Linked DNA regions of Cricetulus griseus. The protein of the gene in region 2 purifies or fractionates together with the protein of the main gene of each other region. This does not show direct contact. Links are inferred from orthologs where the notes say so. Each region holds a gene or a part of one and is shown on either strand. Other genes may lie near its edges.

Evidence for each region. Proteins that work in one complex are often made in the same cells at the same time.
Region 1: the proteins of Nedd1 (region 2) and Tubgcp6 purify together in Homo sapiens (affinity purification with mass spectrometry; 3 studies listed by BioGRID and IntAct, with this or other methods). This does not show direct contact. The link is inferred for Cricetulus griseus from reciprocal best matches to the Homo sapiens genes NEDD1 and TUBGCP6.

What each region holds. Positions count from the first base shown.
Region 1 is NC_048595.1:385,871,228-385,874,746, reverse strand, and holds part of Tubgcp6 (gamma-tubulin complex component 6), read left to right. Parts: intron 1-1,105; coding exon 1,106-1,316; intron 1,317-3,519. UniProt on the Homo sapiens protein: Component of the gamma-tubulin ring complex (gTuRC) which mediates microtubule nucleation.
Region 2 is NW_023276806.1:158,734,522-158,738,040, reverse strand, and holds part of Nedd1 (protein NEDD1), read left to right. Parts: intron 1-2,697; coding exon 2,698-2,826; intron 2,827-3,519. UniProt on the Homo sapiens protein: Required for mitosis progression. Promotes the nucleation of microtubules from the spindle.

The DNA.
Region 1 (3,519 bases), on a different chromosome or scaffold from region 2:
CATGTGATCATAATTGCCCATTTGGATCCCTCAAGGGCTGGGCAGCTCCCTGCTATGTAGCTTAAATAGTGTTGGTAGTTGTCTTGTCTTTCAGGGGCTCCTTTGTCCTGTAACTTCACGCTAGGGTTTCGGTCCTGTCTTGCTTGTATAAAGCAAATCTTCTCCTTTCTACCAACCCCTTACATGTTGAAAAGTTGATCTTACAGCCTACTGCTTTGTTTGTAAATATTTACTAGTGTTATTCCATCTGTTAGCTTTTCGGTTATTGTTTGGGAGGTTACTTAACAGCTCATTTGTTATCATTGTGAACAAACTTCATCCTTTTGGTGTTCTTTGAAGCACAGGACTAGCCATATAGCTCCAGCACAAAGTAGTACTCTGTCAGTGTATCCTGCAAGGAGGACTATATTCCCAAAGTGGTGTTGTTTGAGACAGGGTCTTGCTGTGTTGCTCAGGCTAGTCTTAAATTCTTGAGCTTAAGGATTCTTCCTACCTCAGTCTCTCAAGTAGCTGGTACTGTAGACATTTCTGTCCCTGTCATCTAAGGAACTTTAATGTAGGGTCTTAAGATGAAGAGCACTACCAGTAATTGGGAGAGAGAATGGAAATACAGATTTGATCATTCACAGGCTTTGGGGTTATGTGCATACCCAGAGATTATTCATATAGAAATCAAGAAGTGGGGCTGGAGAGATGGCTCAGTGGTTAAGAGTACTGGCTGCTTTTCCAAGGGACCCAGATTCGATTCCCAGCACCTACATGGTGGGTGGTTCACAACCATCTGTAATTCCAGTTCCTGGGGAATCTGATCACCCTCCTCTAGCCTCAGCATGTACCAGGTATGCATATGGTACATAGACAGAAGTGCAAAGCAAAACACCATAGATACATAGAAAATAAAATAATAAAATATGCCATACATACACAACACACAAAAATAATCCACTCTGTATGAGTTGTGGCCTGTCCTTGTCCATCCATGACTGGGTACATGACCGCAGGGCATTTGCCTGAGAAACTATTGCAGCTGGGGGAAAACACACTTGTCATTTAAGGTCCATGCTGTCCCATCTATTCATCCTCTTCTCTTCTGTCTTCTTTACAGCCTCCCTGGTCACCGAGAGGAGCCCTACCTCACCGAGGCAGGGAGAGATGCCTTTGACAGGTTCTGCCGGCTATGTCATGGAGAGCTGCGGGCCCTCAGTGGGGGTTTACTCCAGGGCCCCAAGCCTGTGCTGGTGGAAGAAAGTGAGCTGGTGAAAGATTCACTGAATGTTCTGCTTGGTGTCGTTTCTGCTACATTTTCTTTTTGTCAGGTGAGAAGGGCTCCCAGCTATTGTGGGACCAACCTTGTATCCAATAGCCTGTACTCTCCTAGCATGCTCAGCATGCTTAGGGTAGGTTAAGGTCTAGTGTCATGAGTAGAAGAGAAGGCCAGCTCTGTGGGTTGATTAAAGGGGCTGGAGTGATGGCTCAGAGGTTAAGAGCACTGACTGCTCTTCCAGAGGTCCTGAGTTCAATTCCTAGCAACCACATGGTGGCTTACAACCATCCCTTATGAGATCTGGTGCCCTCTTCTGGTGTGTAGATATACATGGAAGCAGAATGATGTATATATAATAAATAAATAAAATCTTAAAAAAAAAAATAGCCACAAGTTAGGCCAGCGACAATTAGGCCAATATATAAGTAAATCAATGTTGGAATTCTTGCCAGCACGTGAGAGGCCCTGGCTTCAGTCCCCAGTACTGTAAAACAAAACAAGCATTCCGATTGGATTTTAAGAGTGTTAACTTATAGTAAGGCATGGTTGTGCATGCCTTTAATCTCAGCACTTGGGAGGCAGAGGCAGGCTGATCTCTGAGTTCAAAGCTAGTCTTGTCTAGAGAGTGAGTTTTAGGACAGTCAGGGCTACACAGAGAAACCCTGTCTTGAAAAACAAAAACAAAAACAAAAAAAAAAATCAAAAAGATTCATTCGTTTATTTTTTTATGTGTATGAGTTTCCTGTCTGCATGCATGTGTGTGCATGTGTACCTGGTACCTATGGGGGTCAGGAGAGGGTATTGGATTTCCCTGGAACTGGAGTTACAGATGGTTGTAAACTGCCATGTGGGTTCTGGGAACCTAATCCAGGTGCTCTGCAAGAGCAGTAAGTGCTCTTAACTGCTGAGCCATCTCTCCAGCCCTATTGGTTTTTTCTTAAACTCTCAAAACACATATGGCAGAATTTACTGGTGTACCCTATTAGGAGTTTGTCTACAGACTCAGTGTTCAACTTCTTGTAAGTAGATTTCTATTTTCTTAAGTCAGTTTTGTTACTTTATATGTTTCTAAGAAATTTTACATTTGATTTGGGCTATCTAATTTGACATGTAATTATTTTTGGTGTATGTTCCTAGGGATGGAACCCAGGGCCTGGCACATGCTAGTCAGTGCTCTACCACTGAGCCACATGCCAGTCTAGATTATTTCTTTTTTAATTGCATTTATTAACTTGGGAGGGGGGACAGGGACAGGGATATGTGTCACAGTGTGCATGTAGAGGCCAGAGAACAGCTTTTGGGAGTTGAATCTTTTCTTCTAACATATGAGTCCTTGAAATCAAACTCAGGTGGGTCAGGCTTGGTGGCAAGCAATTTTACCTGCTGTCTTAATTAGGTTTTCTATTGCTGTGATAAAGCACCATGACCACAAGCAACCTGGGGAGGAAAGGGTTTATTTGGCTTACACTTCCAGGTAATGTAGTGTGTCACTGAAGGAAGTCAGGGCAGGAACCTGGAGGCAAGAACTGAAGCATAAGCCATGGAGGAGTGCTGCTCTTACTAGCTTGCTCTCATGGCCTGCACAGCCTGCTTTCTTGTATCACCTAGGACCACCTGCCCAGGGATGCCACTGCCTTCAGTGACCTGGGCCCTCCCACATTAGTCATCAGTCAAGAAGATGCACCACAGGCTTGCCCACAGGCCAATCAGATGGGAACATTTTCTCAGTTGAGGTTCCCTTTTCAACAATGACCTTTGCCTGTGCCAAGTTGACATAAAAACTAACCAGTACACCTGCTGAGCCATATCACTGGCCCAGATTCTTTCTTGTTGCAATTGTTGTTGGGAGTTTTGTTTGTTTGTTTTGCTGCTGTTGATGAAACAGAGTTTCTCTGTGTGACAGTTCTGGATGTCCTGGAACTCATTTTGTAGACCAGGCTGGCCTCTGCACCTTTCTGAGAGAAGAGTCTCACTATGTAGGACAGGTTGGACTCAAGCTCACCATCTACCTGCTTGCTGGGATTACAGGAATGAGCACAATGTCCAGTTTATAATCTCTGTCTCTCTTGCTAGTTTGGGAAGTTTGAACTGTGTTTCTTTTTTGTTGTTGTTACTGTTTTTTTGTTTTGTTTTTGTTTTTTGGAGACTGGGTTTCTCTGTGTAGCTTTGGAGCCTGTCCTGGAACTTGCTCTATAGAGAGGCTGGCCCTGAACTCACGAAGATCCACCTGCCTCTGCTTCCTGAGTGCTGGGATT
Region 2 (3,519 bases):
CAAAATGAGAAGTCAGGAGATAGGATAGATATTTGGAAATGCCTGGCATACATTAAACTAGTAGTTTGTTAATTGGGAGTTTATAGTGTATAGATGATCTCTTCTGATAACCCTGTTGACTCCTTCCTGTCAGAGAAAGCTGTGGTGTAGGAGAGGCTTTACTGCACCAAGAGTAGAAACTAGGACCACAGCCTGCCTTCTCAAAAAGCACCTTACACTCAGTAGTGATGCCTATACCCTGCTTTTTACCTTGCAAGACAGGTCCTTGCTTCTCGGTATGAATTTACTATTTCTAAATAGCAGCAAAACCAATGCTTTGACAAAATCAAATGTGTTGATTTTGATAGTGTGGGGATAACTATTTTCATTATCAGTTTACTGTGAAGGGTATATGTTGCTCTCATAGAATAGTCACAACATACAGGAAAGTAACTAGGTTCATGTTTAAGAACTTGGAGACAAACACTGTGGCTGTTGCATTAGAAGAAATTATTTTTGAAATATAACTGAATAATGTTTCCTAAAATGCTGACTTAGCTGTATTATGAAAATTTGCTATGATTTTCATAAATGATTCTGCAATTCTTATTCATAACTTTAAAAGATTAAAATGGTAGTTTATAAGCTGTGAACTAGAATGTCGTTGTTAACAAATAGTTGTTCTTTAAGGATGACCACACTCACTAGCAAATTAAGGCTTGTATCTGGTGGGTTACCCATTAGTGACAGCCTTAACAGAGTCTCAAATTGTCTGGCAAAGCAAGTCTTTGCTTTGTCCTGGCAAACAGATTTCTGTTTATTTTGAAGTAACTGTCCACTTACAGAGAAGTTTTAGGCATAGTGGTAAGTTCCCGAGCCTGCCATTTGACAGTCAGCACTTTGTCCTAGTCATGTTTTCTTACTCTGTCTCACAGACACAGCTGTGTTTGGCCTACTTGTCTGTGTGTGTGTGTGTGTCTGTGTCTGTGTCTGTGTCTGTGTGTGCACATGCCTATGCACATGGGAGCCTGGTGACAGCTTTAGGTGCCACATTCCTTAGATACTGTCCACTTTATGTTTGGAGTCAAGAGTTTCTCTGTGTTTTGGACCTTGCCAAGCTTGCTGGCCAGCTAGCTTCCCTATTGCTTGGACTGCAGGCACCCTGCTATTCTTTTCTTGTGTGGTCTGGCGATCATCTTTAGCCTCTACTGATGCAGGGCAAGCACTGTTGTGACTGAGCTGCCCTGACCTCTATAGTCTCATTGGTTTCCCTTTATACACTAAGATAATGTTTAATGATTAGGATGGTTATGGCAGTCCAAGAAGATGTATCCCAAGTGCCTGGCACATGAGACACTCAATAAACAATATGTTGGTGGTGAATCTGTAACTGGCACATGAGACACTTGGTAAACCATAGTATTGGTGATAGTGTAGTCACAATCATGACCATGATGATGACTTACTTTGAAGTTTATCTACAATTAGTCTAAAGTTTTAAAAATTCTTCTTTCTACTAGAGTTATCCAACTTAGTTATTGAAAAGAGCCTCTGTAGACTTGTTGCTGGTCCTCAGTTTAAGTAGGAAATAACAGTTTTTAACAAGTGAAAATTAAGGCTTCAGTACTATTTTTCTATGATATTAGCCCTCTGTTCTGTTTCAAAGGCTAGGATGTTCATTCAAAAAGTTAAAAACCTAGAAAAAAGGAAGTAAGCTCCTCCCTGCCCACATTCTTCCCTTTCATCCTCTCACTATGTAGCCCAAGCTAACCTGGACTCCATAGCCTCCCAGTGCTGGTTTATAGCTGTGCCTCTGTGTCTGGCTGAAACCACTGCTCTAAACACCTGTCAGTGTTGTGAGCTACAGCTGCTCTGATTTTCTAGCAGTTGCTTTTTTCTTTTAAGTTGATTTCTTTAGCTGGGCTTGGTCAGCTTTGAAAATTCAGTTGTCTTTTTTTGTGTGTGTTCATTTTAGGCTTTTCAGTTTCCATTTGAGACCAAGGTGCCGTCAAGCTCCTTTTAAAAATATATAGCAGTGTGCTGCCAGTCCAGGAGCTGGAGTTCACCCAGTTGCTGCATCTCTCAGAAACTCACACTCCTATCACAAGCAAGATGGTTCTTAATCTATGGTTTCTCCCACAAAGCCTTAGCTCTAAAGTCATGTACTTACTAGCAAACCCTTTACTGTTGCCTACTGCACTGTTCTTTATGAGTCTGATACTCTTTTTTCCTTATGGCTAGTAATAAAGTGAGTTAGTAAGTCCATTAGTTTGAGAATGCTGAGAGTCAAGTTAAGCTCCCACTCTTGGTGACAGAAGACTTTATATGGGGATAAGAGGTCTGCTTTCTGCAAGTTGGAGAATAAATGTTAGCTGATTCACATTGTACCTTAGTTGTCATGCTGTTTGCCTCGTAGATTTGTCTTAGTCATTTGTAGGCAGTCATAAGCATAAGAGACATATATTGTATTCAGTGTACTTTAAAGAGGGCAGCAAAAGCATATTGATGATTTTAGAAACTTTCTACTGAAGTGATTCCTGTGAAGAAAAGAGCTGTTTATATGGAAAAATCCTTCACTGACATATTCCGCTGCCTTTCTTAGTACTCAGTTAAAAAATTGCCACAGTGTGGGTAACATTCATTTTTGCATGCTAGCTTCTTATGGTAGCTACTTAGATGCATGTTACAACACTCATCTTTGTATCCAATTCTCCCAAGGCTTGCATCGAAGCATAAATACAGATATTTTATCTAAGGAAGCAGATGGTGGAAGAAGTCAAGATTTCTCCAACTTTGATGATACTGGGGAAAATAGCTTAGGTGACATGTTCTCACCAGTCAGAGATGGTAAGTGTTCAGGTCAGTGGGTGTGGTGTCTTGGTGCTCTCAGGTGTGGGTCTAAGTCATACAGTGGTTTGTGCATTTTCTCAGTTCCTGAGTGGGATCTTTCCTGTACCCTATATGTGGGAAATTAGCATGCTAATGCAAATGCTGGCTGTTGGACATGGCTCCTAAGATAGTATTTTAATTTCCATAAAGATTGATCCAACCCCTGTCCTGGGGATCCCATCAAGGTCTTCTGTATGTTGGGCAATTGCTGTGTCTGAGCTTAGGTGCCAACAGAATTTCTTAAAGGAGTTTCTACCATTATAAACAATCTTTGACTTGTATCTGCTTCAAATAAACCTCCCTAAAATCTTGGATGCTTGGTATGTAAAAATAAAGATTATTAGTATTTACTTGATAATTTATTCAGTGTTTTCCTGGCTGGGTAATATATTGCCTCTTCTTTTGCACTTGTATATGATAGTTTCATGTGTATATTACATCATCTCTGCCACCACCCTGTAGATGTCACTATTAAAAATAACTGTTGTCACCTTGCTGCATAGACACAGTATGTCATTGTCCAGCTGTGCTTTTTAGTTCTACTGAGGCTCACATTCCTTAATGGAATGGGTTCATTGCTAATAGCAGTATCATCAGTGATCCAGGCAAATATCTAGAGGACAATTTGACAGTTAAATTATTCATACTTTC